Linked DNA regions of Mus musculus: region 2 is reported to be linked to region 1. Evidence: microRNA targets listed by miRTarBase, many of them from high-throughput screens and not tested one by one. Region 1 holds a microRNA gene; the other region holds the end of a gene's coding sequence.

Evidence for each region. Region 1 holds the annotated microRNA mmu-miR-26a-5p (UUCAAGUAAUCCAGGAUAGGCU, at 5,033-5,054, opposite strand). A microRNA usually pairs through its seed, bases 2 to 8, with sites in the 3' UTR of a target mRNA and lowers its output. Matches are read on the target gene's strand: a 7mer-m8 pairs with bases 2 to 8, a 7mer-A1 pairs with bases 2 to 7 and ends in A, and an 8mer does both.
Region 2: the mRNA of Jagn1 is a reported target of mmu-miR-26a-5p. The part of its 3' UTR that is shown has no 7-base or 8-base seed match.

The regions. Positions count from the first base shown.
Region 1 is chr9:119,029,746-119,036,864 of GRCm38, reverse strand. Mir26a-1 (microRNA 26a-1) reads right to left here and starts at 5,069; the gene lies at 4,980-5,069. It overlaps Ctdspl (CTD (carboxy-terminal domain, RNA polymerase II, polypeptide A) small phosphatase-like), which reads right to left. Exons shown (of 8, transcript NM_133710.3): 5 at 6,613-6,669; 6 at 3,237-3,329.
Region 2 is chr6:113,446,389-113,453,501 of GRCm38, forward strand. It overlaps Jagn1 (jagunal homolog 1), which reads left to right. Exons shown (of 2, transcript NM_026365.3): 2 at 870-1,841. The coding sequence ends at 1,332. Among named protein-coding and RNA genes, the nearest start is that of Jagn1, 7.4 kb to the left of the region's middle.

The sequences.
Region 1 (7,119 bases):
TCTCAGCCTTATTTTTTGAGGCAGGGTCTCTCCTTACACCCACAGCTCATGATTCAGGTAAATTGGCTGTCCAGCAAGCCCCAGGGTCCCCGCTACCTCTGCTGCCCCAGTGCTGGACGGCAGGGGCACACGGGCTTTCTGCTTCCCTGCTGATGCTTAGCAATATTTATACCAACTAAACCTTCTTCTCAGACATACTCGCCTTTCACTTAAAAATTCCCATTGTCGCGTACGTGCACGCTCACAGGTGCACCATGATGTGCACCCGTGGGTCAGAGGGCAACTTCAGGGAATTGCTTTTCCCTCCCACCTTTAGGCAGGTTCCAGGGACTGACCTCAGACGGCCAGGCTTGTGTGGCAGGTGCCTTGAGCCGCCTCATCATCTCGTCAGCCTCTTGGACCACTTTTTAAAAAGGCCCTGAAATAACTGGAAGCGTTTTATGATTGTGGTATTCCCTCTCTACCTGTGTCAGAAAGCACTGCATTCTTACAGTTCTCTCCCACAGGATCCATCAGAAAGTTCTTATCAGTTTCCTCTCCAAAAATATCTCGACTCCCACCTTTATTTCTAATGCATCTTCCAGGACCAGGCCTCCTGACTTGGGAGGCTCCTGTTTCCTGCTGGGCCTCCTGTCCTTGCCCATTTACCTCACAGCTGTCAGCGTATCCACTGGAGGACATAGAACATCCTACCCCAGGCCTACTTAGAACTCCCACGGTTTGCCCACTGCCTTAGGAGTAAACACACGGAGGCACACAGCACATCTCATCCCATCCCCACTTCCTCCTGCAGGCTTCACTTGAGGTTTGAACTCAGCAGTGAGGTCAGAGCGAGGCACACAGCCAGGAAGCCCCAGGGCTGGCAACCCCTTCAGGGAGGGAGCGGACACGGAGGCTGAGTCACGAAGGCCACAGTAGAATGCACTGTGGCTGGGTCCTGGGAAAGTCCTTCTGGCTCTAAGGAATCCCAAGGGGAGCAGCTTCATCTCTTGCTGACCAGACAGCTTAGAGCACTCTCTGAGGGATGGGCGAAGGGGCATGTGAGCCGTCTACAGAAGGTTGACGCGGATGGAAAAAGAGGGTTCCTTTTCTCCTCTGCGACCGTCAGTGTGGCAATCAGCCTTTGGTTTTTATACTTTTTATACGATTAAAAAAAAACCTATGTGCATGTGTACTTTGCTTGCATGTATGTATGTGTGGGCGTCATGTATGCATACAGTGTGTACAGAGGCCAGGCAAGGGCATTGGATCCAATGCCTGGAACTGGAGTTACAGACAGTTGTGAGCTGCCATGTGTGTGCTGGGGATTGAACCTGGATCCTCTGCAAAGGTGGCCAGTGCTGGGCCATCTCTCCAGTCCTGGCGATCATCTTTTAGGTTAGTGTCTAGGGGCTCCTGGCTTGCAAGACCGGGATGAAGACTACAGGCACCGGACACGGGGGTTCATCCTTTCTCCTTGGTGCCCTACTAAGCAAGAGGGGCGAATGAACCAAAGGATGCATGACAAACCAGCAGACCATAGCAGTCTGAGAGTCGGAGCGCTGTCCCTGCAGGCCCCAGCAGGAGGCGGGGAGGCAGTATACAAAAGCTGCTGGCTGAGTGCTGAGCTAAACTCATTAGCCAGAGCTGGAACCCCGACCACCAGTCCAACCTGACCATTGGGGCTGGAAGGCTGAGGCCGAGCTGGGAACTGGGTTTGGCTCTGCAGGCAAGAATAACTCTGAAGCAGGGCTAGAGAAACAGATGGTGGGGCAGGTGGGAACAGCCCAGGAAGAGCGGCCCAGACAAGGATGTTTAAGTGAACACTGGGGACCCTGCCTAGGAAGAGTTTTCAATCTTGCTAAGGAAAAAAAAAAAAAAAAAAAAAAACCACAAAAACCAAGCCTCAGTCCGGCGCTCGGGTGCAATCTTCCCGCTCGCTCGCTATTTGGCTGCTTATTACTTCAGGTTCCTCAGCATCCCGGAGCGGCGTCACGAGCACCACTGAAGCTGCTCACGCAATTAGTCTTGACACCACTGGGGACGACTATGTTTTCCTTGAGGCCGTGTTCTGCTTTGTGTACATGAGATCAAAACCCAGGCTCGGGATCACTCGTTAGCAGCTCCCATTGAGGCTGGCTGACGACGCTGGTGGAGCAGAATGTGTGGCTCTTGCCTTGGTCAGCATAGAGTATAGACCCAGCCAGGAATGCCCCAGCCAGCAGAGTGGGGCTGAAGACCTGGGGTCGAAGATCCAACAGGCAGATGAGGATGGGTGCTATCCCAGGCAGGCCGTGGGGGAGGGAGCTGCTAGTGGCTCCCGGAATTCTGCACACCACAGATCTCATCTCTGGGGCCACTCAGAGTTTTCCAGGTACCCATGAAGACCCAGGTGCCTCTGCTAAGTGGATTGACTGACTCTGCGAGAGTCACGGTCGGCACAGAAAGGATTTGGGAGAGCGAGCTAGGGTCTACTCCGCCTGCTTTCAACTCACCTGTGAAGCCTGTCTGGATGCTATTGGTGCTTATGATGGTAAATACTGAACATCAGGAGTGTTTACCCTGCGACAGTGTCCATGGCAGTGCCCAGAGAACAGTGAGGGCTCAATGAACGTCTGCTTGATGGGAATCTGGGGCTGTGCTGAGCCGTTCACATGGGCCATTTCATTTAATGAACTCTAACAGGCAGATGGAATTATCCCCAATTAGACAAGAAGAAACCAATGTGCCAGAGGTAAAGGAATTTACCAGAAACCATTCAGCTCCCAAGGCTATCAGAACTCCCAACATTCTGTGCCTGCCAGTGACACTTGACACCTGCCTCTTAACTTGTTCCTCCCTGAAACCTGTGGCCATCAAACACGGGGACACAGGGACTCTAAAATCTGGCTGCTCTTCAATGCGTGAGGGAGACTCCCCCACACCTGCATCCATCCACAGTCACAATGGACGGGTCTTGTGGTTTTGTCTGTGGATAACTGGTTTCAGGTGGCTGCATAAAGCAACTTCATGGAGCATTTGTTCCAAATGCTCCCAGTCACCATGGTAACCAGAAACCTCTCAGCCTAGCAGTGTGCACATGGCCTGCATCTATCGCATCTGGGGTGGGAACCTGTCACCGTAAAAATAGCTTCCTCCACCTTAACAAAGGGCTCTTGGCAGCTTGGGGGGTGTGGTGGAGGGTGGAGAGGTTGGGATGACGGCTGGGAACAGGACGCAGGATGCAGGACACAGGATGCAGGACGAAAAGGACGCACCTTGGCCAAGCTGGCAGTAAAGAGCACACACTCAAAGAGCTGCCCCATCCTCTGGAGGAACTCGTCCACGTGAGGTCGCTTCAGCACATACACCTGCGGTGGGAGGAGACAAGAGCTGTCAGTCATAGCATCCAGGGACAGCGTGGGCCTTGGAAGAACTGCCAAGGGGCCCTTCTCCTGTTGCCAGGCCTATGTACGATTTACTGAAGCTTGCACTAGGTTCTGCGTCTCAACCCTTGTAGAGAGAAAGGAAAGCCGACCACGTCGTCAAGGTTCTTGAGTATCTTCGGAGCCAGTAAGCAGAGCACAGCTGTGCCATGTCCAGTCGCAGTTGCTCATGCATCCACTTGGCACTTGCTGAGTCAGCCCCTATGTGGCCACAGGCCACAGCCTAGGTGCTGTCCTTCTGGAAGTCTAGGACTAGCTGCGGCCTCCAACTCTGAACATCCCTGCCCCCTGGGGTTAATGCACTTGAAAACTTTCTAGTGGACACCATGGAGGTCACCCTGCTTGTGTAGGGGTACAGAAAGCACTTCACATGGGTAAGGGGCTGCTTCCCACAGTTGGGCTCTGTGTATCCTTCTGATCAGACCAGACAGGCCTGCGAAGCAGCTGGTTTCACCTAACACCCAGGCTGCAGTCTCTGGAGGCTAAAGGAATGTGTAGGAACTGGAAGAGAGAAAGCAAAGCCAGGGAGAGGCAGTGGGCAGAGGGAGGGACCAATTAAAACTTGAGTAAATTCCACTAGAAGTTAGCTACATCTTTAAAATAAAACATAATTACCAGGTCTCAGCGCTGTGCTCAGTTCAGCTACAAGGCTGAATTGGAGCCCCCAATCCTCTGGAGACTCGTGTGGTGGGCCTTGCCGGCTCAGCTCACTCAGTCTTGAGCACACACTGACAGAAATTAGTGAACACAAGAAATCTCACAGTGGGGTATTCATTCAAGATAATTCTCCCTTCCAGAGGGCGTCTCAGAAAGCAACATCTGGCCTTGACCTTGAATAAAGAGGAGCTCACACGCTGAGAGAGAGAGAGAGCTGAGCCTCCAACCCGAGCAAAGTGTGAACGTGAGGATCGGAAGCGTCACAACACTTGGGTTTGTGTTGGGCCAAAGCCTGTGTCCACAGCCAACCATAGGCAGTGAGAGAAGCCCTGGAGGCTGCTCAGGGAGGAAGCAGTTAAGGTAAAGAGCTAAAGGTAGCAGTAAGCCACAGGGCCTCTAAGGGCAGACAGAGCAGGGGAGGGGGCTGCGGAAAGGGAGAGGAGACACAAGACTGCACCCCATGCAAGGAAAACACACTGCAGGACAGACTTCCTAGATGGAAACACTGCTTTGCAGCATGCCAGGAAAAGGCGCTTCCTAGGGCAAAGACCTGGAGAGAAAGCGGCTGGCTAGCTTTAGGAGTGGGTTGGGGGTCTGGCTCTGCAGCTGAGGGTGGAGAGAGGGGCCAGAGGAATATAGGTGGTCTATCCTGGGTGCCACCAGGATCCTGCTGAGCTGGGGTGTTGGGCTAGGCTGAGGGCAGAGCTGTGTGGCTGTAGCAGCTGCAGGACCTGCTTTGCTCATAACACTCGTTGTTGCTGGTGCCAGTGACTGGGTGTGGCCTCCGGTCCTGAGTCTCCGGGAGGACTGCTTGGCCAGCAAGCTTGGCTACAGGCAAAGGGTTGGAGATGGACGGGGGAAACTCTGTTGTTGCCGCCTTTAGCAGAAAGGAGGTTCCTGGGCCCAGATGCCGGCGTCCAGGCCCGCGTCCCCGTGCAAGTAACCAAGAATAGGCCCCTTGGGACCTGCACAGCCTATCCTGGATTACTTGAACGAGGCCACGGCCTTCGCCAGGGCCTCGGTCCTCCAGCTTTTGTACCTTCCTTCTCTCTGGAGTTTCTGCTCCCAGCCCTGATGCCCGGGGTGTCTACTGCCAAAGAGAAGGGGCAAGGGAAGCCGGGGTGGGTCCTGCACTCCGGACGTGCTTGTGGCCACGTGGTGTGAAGAATTATTTTCTTGGGCAGTCCTCCTGAGCCTCACCTCAAGGACTCTTCGACTTTAGACACAACAACCAGCGCAGAGGTCCTAACTGCATGGCGGGGGTGGAGTTAATTCAGTTGGTGCTTTGTGAATGGTAAGTGACCAGGTGCCTGAAACCTTCCCAGGTCCTATGTCCTGTAGGACAGGATAGAGAGCTAGGTGGGGGTAAGGGAGACAGGGGGAACCAAGTCTAAGGAAAGAGCCCTGGCTTAGGAGTCAGGAAATCTTATCCTGATGATTGTCATATATAACCTTCTGTCTGGGCAACGGAATGGCTAAAACAGCTGATTTCACAGCCCTGGATTGTTCTAAACTGCACTCAAGAGTTAAGGAGCCTTATTGGCATCGTTAAGAAATGACATCCTGTGTGGCCCAGGAACCAGGAAATGTCTGTCCCTTCCTGGGATATGAGGCCAGATACTCTCCCCTTAAGGCCTTGAGTTTGATGGGGGAGACAGTCTGTCCCATCACTCCTAAGAAACATGTGGCAAAACTATATCTACCTTAACCTCCAAGGCGAGCTTTTCTACCATGTTTCTAATGTATTCATAGACGAAGTCATTTCCAGAAGAGCTTGCTGATGACGAAGAAAAAATAAAGAAGAAGCAACTCCCCCAAACAAACAAACAAACAAACAACCCCAAAACAGAAAACCCCAAAAACCGGAAGAAGATTGATGCCAGCTGACGATGACAATTTATGCACAGCACCCTGCTGGTCTTAACACACCCTTCCCCTTTGCTCTGGGTTGAGTATTTGCTAAAAAAGACACTGGAGAAAACCACATGGGCAGAGAAGCTCTCACGGGAGCAGTTGGCATCAAAGTGGACATTTTTCCCAAGAATGCTCCGTCAGTGGGTGACTGGTGGCATTTTCCTGTTGCTAGGAGAAGCCAAAAGCAAATGCATGATGAAGTTGACCAGATGTCAAACCCGGCCAGCGGTGGGGACAACTAGGGGATTGCACAAAGGCTCCTAAAAGTTGAAATCAAATCAGAGATCATACCTAATATTTATTAACAGAAAAGGGTCCTCATAAACACGGTAAAAAGCAAATGCATGCATGAGGCAGAGAATCATTCACAGTATTTTTATTTAGCTTTTGAGACAGGGTTTCTCTGTGTAGCCCTGGCTGTACAAGGACTCGCTTTGTGGACCAGGCTGTCCTCAGACTCAAGAGATCTGCCTGCCTCTGCCTCCATGCCTGGCTTACTATACTTATTATACAAAGTTTGTTTCCTGAAGTTAGAATAAAATGGCCACTGAAGTGAGAATTGAAAAAATGATGTTCCCAGGGAGTGTGGTTACAAGAAAATGCTCTCTGGAACTGCAGGCTAACTCTGGTTCCTTACCTGGTGTATGGTTCCGTCGATTTCAACAGGAACAATGAAGTCAGCATTACTAATGGGCTAGAGAGAAAAGAAATTGTGATTAATACATATGAAAGGAAAGAGAAAATTGGAAATTGTAGCAAGAAAGAAGCTTGCCTGGACCAATGTTTTGACGATGGCAGGAAATAGTTCACAAGGATGCTGGCAGAGGCCTTGGGTCCTTGAAATAAACATGTAGGAAGGAGTATTTCTTCCTGTCCTGAGTGTCCTGGAGTTCCAGCATCTAGCCCAATCTCTTGGACACCTGCCTGCCTCAACTGCAAAGGGTGGCATAGTCTGGCAAGAGAATGGGGCTGCTCAGACTCCAGCCTGGAGCCCAGACAGGATGGGGGACGGGGGGACGGGGACGGACCACTGATGGCCACCAGGGGGCAGAGATGAATGCCTGCTGGCCAGTTGTCACTACCACTGGAAAAGCAATTTGTCCTTGGACTCAGAGTGTGGGCAGCTTGGCACAGGATGCTCAGA
Region 2 (7,113 bases), not on the chromosome of region 1:
AGGTGAATTACTGCCTCCTTAAGTCCACTGAGTTTTTCAGCTGGTGCTTTACCTCTGTGCAAGAGGATGACAAGCTCTCTGGACCCTTGGCCCCTTCCTACTGGAGACCTTGTAACCCAAGGTCTTGTCTTGCACACCTAGAGGTGAAACCTTGCTCTTGAGATTGAAAAGGATACGCTTGAGACCTAGGGAATTTAGATTAAGAGAGACATGCTTCCTTCACGTGACAGCTGTAGCTGGAGAAATAGGAGCTGTGTTCCTTGTTGCTACAAGGCCTCCTGGCCTTTGTTTCTGTGATGCAGAGCTATCATTTAAACCACAGCCCAGAATTCTTGTCATGGCTTTGTGAGATGGTGTCTTGCTATGTGGTCCAGGCCAACCTCCAATTTGGAATCTTCTGTCTCAGCCTACCAGGGGCCGCTGCTGCTCTTCAGTCTGAAGTGTCCTCGCCTTGTCTTTGCAGTTATCTGTCACTGCCTCTCCTGTGTCTTGCCACTTGATTTCTTGAAACACAGATACATAAACCCCTGTGTTTTGTGCCTGCATGTTTTTGCCTCTGCATAGAATGCTCTCTCCACTCGTCTAGAACCCAGGCCGAAATGCTTTCTCCTGTACACAGACAGCCTTCCCTCCCTGGCCTCCACCTTATGCTACAGTGATTACTCCCAGGATAGCTTAGGCTCTGTGTGTTTACCTGAGCTTTACACTTCATTTTCTAATTACTTTCTTCTCTATCCCTTGGACCCAGCCTCTGTTTGAGGCTGTATCACTCACACTGTATCCATGTGTCCTGTACACATGCCTGGAATACGGTTGGTGGTCAGAGCACTTGGAATGAAAGTTGCTTCTCCCTTTGCTCTGTCTTACAGTGTGACCCTCAAGTACGAAATCAAGAAGCTGATCTACGTGCATCTCGTCATATGGCTGCTGTTGGTGGCCAAGATGAGCGTGGGACACCTGAGGCTCTTGTCACATGATCAGGTGGCCATGCCCTATCAGTGGGAATATCCGTATTTGTTGAGCATTGTGCCCTCTGTCTTGGGCCTGCTCTCCTTCCCTCGGAACAACATTAGCTACCTGGTGCTCTCCATGATCAGCATGGGGCTCTTCTCCATCGCTCCCCTCATTTATGGCAGCATGGAGATGTTCCCTGCGGCACAGCAACTCTACCGCCATGGCAAGGCCTATCGCTTCCTGTTTGGTTTTTCTGCTGTCTCTGTCATGTACCTGGTGTTGGTACTGGCAGTCCAAGTTCATGCCTGGCAACTGTACTACAGCAAAAAACTCTTAGACTCTTGGTTCACCAGCACACAGGAGAAGAAACGGAAATGAAGCCTGCTTGATAAACTGCTCTGAGGGGTAAAACCTAGGTCTCCCATTGAGCAGCGTGAAGGGAGCTGTCCAGACTCTCCATCGATTGTGGCATCTGTGATGTTGGCACCTAGTGCACACTAGGCTCAGATTTTGGCCTAGAGTTCTGTTACCATCTGCTGAGGTGGCAAAGCTGTTGTATTTAATTTATGCTTGACTAGCTGCAGCTGGGTGACCAATGGCTGTGACACACTTTACCTGGTTGAACTTGAGGCCCTTTAGAGTTTGGGTTTTCCAGACTGAGCCTTATCCTTGCCTTCTCTTGGCCGTACTCCCTCCTTCCATTCGTCACCTCTTCACCACCAGTACTAGAAGAAATATGGAATAAATCAGTACATGAAAGCAGACTTCAGTCTGTGGGTCATGGGCAAGCAACATTTGGGAAGTTGCTCCCCTATGGGCTGTTCTGTTTACTGCAAACCATTTTAAATAAAAAGAACCTCAATAAATAAAGTTAAGACTGTCCTGTGCCTCGTGTTGGAGATTTGATTGTTTTTCAGAGTTGTATGGAGCTGCCTGTGGAGAAGAGAGCTGGGGTGAGGATCTAAGTCAGCTGCAGCCCTCTAGCTTTTAGGTAAGAACTACCCGGGGTGAGGGGCACCGGAGGTGTGCTTCAGGAGTTAAGAGCACTGGCTGCTCTTACAGAGGACCCAGGTTGGGTTCTCAGCACCCACGTGGTGGCTCAAAACCATTTCTAACTACTGTCCCAGGGTATTTTATGCCCTCTTCCTGCCTCTGGAGATACTTAATGGGCATGAAGTATGAAGACAAACTTGCAGGCAGAACACTCATACACAGAAAATAAGGCAATTTAGCTCTGGCTGTCCTGGAACCCACTATGTAGAGGAGACTACTGAACTCAAACTCACAAACTCCTGCCTTTGCCTGCCTATTACAGTGATTAAAAAGTTAATCCTTTCTGTGTCTAAAACTGTATAGTAATATCCAAAATGATTTTTAAGAATCTGCTTGTAGCCGGGTGGTGGTGGCGGCATACTCCTTTAATCCCAGCACCCGGGAGGCAGAGGCGTGCAGATTTCTGACTTCGAGGCCAGCCTGATCTACAGAGTGAGTTCCAGGACAGCCAGGACTACACAGAGAAACCCTGTCTTGAAAAACCCAAAAAAAAAAAAAAAAATCTGCTTGTAGGGACTATATTAGTTCCCACTAACTGACAGGTAACACGAGGCAAAGAAAGAAAAAAGGGATTGGGGTTCTTTGTCGGCTTTCTGTCCATGGTTCGTTGGCCTGCTTATTAGGGGCATGTGCAAAAGAAACTGCTCACCCTGTGGAAGCCAGAAAATGAAAAAAAGACACGATCCTACTGCAGACCACCAGCGATAGAGCCTCCATCAGCCCCACTTGAAGCTTCCTCCACTTCCACAAATGCCTCAGACTGGCAAGGAGATTGCAGTCTTGGGGATTGTGCAGTGAACACAACACCTAATTGTGTGAGATAGTCACAACTGAGATAAAGTTAACAGCTACACCTAGAAGTGTCACAGTAAGTAGGGCTGTCCATTTGCACTTGGACTTCGTTAGGCCTGGATGATATATCTGTGTCTGCAGAGATCTGACCTCTACAGTTGTAATTCTTTTGTTCTGGAAATGTGTTGGGTGTATGGTCTGCAGAGCCTTCTCCAGATGGATCTTTTGTATGTGGGGGAGGGGGCGGTGGTTCAAGGTGGTTTCTTTTTTTCTTTATTATATATATATGAGCACACTGTAGCTGTCTTCAGGCACACCAGAAGAGGGCATCAGATCCCATTACAGATGGTTGTGAGCCACCATGTGGTTGCTGGGAATTGAACTCAGGACCTCTGAAAAAGCAGTCAGTGCTCTTAACCACTGAGCCATCTCTCCAGCCCTCAAGATGTTTTCTTCGTAGCCCTGGCTGACCTGGAACTCAGAGGTCCGCCTGCCTCTGCCTCTCAGGTGTTGTGACTATAGGCATGTGCCACCTTGCTTGGGTCGTACAGATAACTTCAAAGATAACTTCTGCCTCAAGCCTACTGCTGTTCCTAAGTCCAGTGTTGACAGGCGCACAGCTCTGGATCATTATCCACCCCTCAAGCTTTAAGTCCTTCTCGTTGCCTTCACCTTTTTCCAAGGTTTCTGGAGGTGAGGCTTCTCAGAGGTACAGTGCTTGTCTAGCATGCACTAGGGCCCTAAGTTTGATTCCCCAAGCACCAAGAAGTAAAAACAAACCTCTACTCTTAAACTCCTTTAATAATCTTTAAGATACCATTTAGGTGGAAATTCTGGAGTCTTCCCATTCCTCAGTTCAAATAACAACTTGTTTGTCTGGCTGTTTTCTCTTCCCTCCTCTATTAGACAAGGACTAACATAGCCCAGAATGGCCTTGGACTATTCCTAAGTGCTAGGATTACAGACATGGGTATCACACCTGGCTTATATTACTTGTTTGTATGTCTTCCATTCCCTTGCTCAGTACTCTGCACATTAGTGTCCACTCTGAGCTTACTGAACAAATTAACTTGTCCTTTTATGGACCAAAGTGTGTATGTCCCAGAGAACACAGCTGGACGGAAGCAGGAAGAAGCACTTGGAAGGCCATGGACAAGGGAGTTTGCCATGAGTTCAGCCGAGGTACACACCTCTAATTCTCAAATGACTGAGATGCAAACATTTGCTAAAACTGGGGTGCAAATTCCTAGTCAAGGAGCTAAAAACTATATTTGGTTATTAAAATGGTGTTTTATACACAGCCTTTGAGTATCTTGAAAATTCATTATGAAACTTGTCAAAATTTAAAAGTAGCTGTCATGGAAACCTCCATTTATGTTAGTTTTGTGCCTGGAATTATGTTTTTCTAGCCTTTTTCTATCAGTTTTTTCCTGCTTCATGGTTATGGTGTTCACAAATGAGGCCTCCTGTTGATGTAGTCAAAAGGAGCTGTTTGGATTAGAAAATTCATCTGGGTGTAGTGACACATGTCTGTTATTCTAATCTTTGGAAGGCTGAGGCAGGAGAAATACTGTGAGTTTAGTTTGCCTGAGCTACATAATCGAAACCAATCTCAAAAAACAAGATTGGTTAAAGTGTGGGTTAAATTATCAACCACAGGACTAAGACCAGCCACCTGTCACACAGGTTGCTTGAAAGCTCTAACAGGCGAAGTTTGAAGGTATTCTAAAAAGTTCTTAAATTTTTAAAATTTATTTTTCTATACATAGGTGTTTTGCCAGCATGTATGTTTGTTTACCACTTGGGTACTTGGTCCCTGAAAAAGCCAGAAGAAGGCATCGGATCTCCCAAAGCTAGCATTAGAGAACCACCATGCGGGTGCTGGGTACTAAACCCAAATCTTGTAGAAGAGCAGCCAGAGCTCTTAACCACTGCAGCTTCCCTCCAGACCTTGTGAAGGCTTTTTATGGACTCAGTAACACCATATGCGTGTCAAAAGTGGTGGTTGCTTGATCTTTACAAGCAAGACAGGAGAGTGAAGGAGTTGGAGAGACTCTTGAGCGATGGTCCAGAACCAAGAAAGGCTTGTGTGCTGCCAGGAATGATTAGTAGGCTGAGATCCTAGCCAGAGATTTTACTATCTTTGTTGGTTTTATTACATTTTATTGCCATCCTAGGAATCAAGTAGGGCTTCATACTTATTAGGTAGGCACTCTATCAACTGAGCCACATTCTTATATTCTACCCTTCATTTGACACACCGTAGCCCAGATTGTCCTTAAACTCAGCAGTCTCTGGCTTCTGTGGTGCTGGGATTATAGGTGTTTCCACCCCTAGCTGAACCTGTTTTTGATGAGATGCATGGGCATTGTGGACTTTCCCGTAGCTGTGAGGCTGAAAGAAATGGGAATGAATTACCCAGAACACAGAGATTTACATATCAAGATGCCTTTCCTGGATCAACAGTGCTGTGCTTGCCTCTCAGTCTGTCCACCTGTTTTAGGAGTGATTTCTCTTTCCTTCTCCTCTTCTCTCCCCTCCTTTCCCCTCCTTCTTTCTGACAGGATCTCTGTATAGAGTCCTCCTGCCTCTGTCTTTGAAATAGCGTGTAGGTGTTTATCACCATGCCCAGCTAAGAATGATTTCTCAGAATGCTGGAAGTTGATCCCTTCTAAAAGAACATAAGGGAATAGTTCACATTCTTGGTTCACATTATCCTGGCTGGTGCCCCGACAGCGGGGACAGAGCCAGCAGACCTTGGGAAATGGCCATTTCAGGAAGATCCTGTTGCTGCTACTCATGGCCTATCCAAGTCTATGCATAGGAAAGACTAACAAGAAAAATGGCTGCCAGGTGTCCCCTACCCCCAATAGTATACTCTCACCAAGCATGCATGCTTCAGGGCTTGCCAAAACTTCCTGAACCCCTGGCTTGGTTCCCAAATAAGATCATTTGAGCATGAAGTCTTGGCCAGCTGCTTTAGACTCCTAAGAACACAGGGCTTTTATGCTGACATCCCTGCTGCCTTCACCCCTGTTGCCTCCTATTCCAGCTACCTCAATTCTAACTCTCCCTGTTGACAGTTGCCAATCTCCTCTCCTAGAACTATGCCCACCCATCACTCACCGTGATAAGATTCCTTTCCGTTTCTTTGTTCTTTCCAGGTCTGGCTGCTTGCCCTCCTCTCCTCCCTTCCCATGGTCTTGTGAAAACCCAGGATAGTCTCAAACTCACTGTGCAGTCAAGGACAACTCAAGCTCTTGTTCCTCCTGCCTCCATCTCCCAAATCCTGGGATTGCAAGCTTATGCCTCCACACTCCACTTTCTAATCTCTTTCCTTACATATTTATTCCACCAACTTCATCACATTGCTACATCTGGAACTTTGTGCAAGATGAGATCAGAAGCCCTCTGGATTCTTGTAATGTGTTCTGCCAGGAGAAACAGGAGACATGGTGTGTTCTGCCTCTCCATTTCTTTGCTGTGTATGTTTTTGGCTGAGTCTCATAGTCTTCCTGAGTGTTCCCTTTCTAAAACCAGTCGTTGGCCTGACTGTAAGGGTTGTGATGCTAGTAACACACGGTAAAGGAGCAAGGGGCGTGATCCAAACCCAGATAGCTCAGTAGGAATTGATCTCATCCTTTCCCACTTTGGACTAGGCTCCAACCACACCAAATATGTAAACCAGCAAAACAATAACTTCAGGCTTCCTTTTGCCACTTTTTGCTACTTATTTATTAATTGATTGATTTGACAGTGTCTCACTATGTAGCCCTAGCTGCCCTGTGGCTAGGTAGACCAGACTTAATCTCATACACAGAGATCTACCTGCTTCTGCCTCTAGAGTGCTAGGATGAAAGGCATATGTCACCACTCCTGGCCTCCCTAATTCCTTCTCTATGGACTTCTCTTCTTGACCTTTACTTCTTACTCCCTCCCTCCCTCTTCCCTTCCCTTTTGTCTGTATTTCTTTATTGTTTCCACTTCTTTCTGCTTCTCCTAGCACACTTTAGACACTATCAGGAATCAACTAACTAAATATTTTTATCTTGAAAGACAGGTCAGACTCCTGGATGTATACCCAAAGGATGCTCAATTCTTCTACAAGGACAGTTGCTGAACTATGTTCTTAAAGCTTTATTAATAATAACCAGAAACTGGAAACAACCTAGATGTCCCTCAACCAAAGAATGGATAAAGAAAATATGGTAAATTTGCACAATGGAGGGTTACTGAGCTGTTAAAAACAATGACTTCATGGAATTTTCAAAGAAATAGATGGAACTATAAAAGACTGTCCTGAGTGAGGTAACC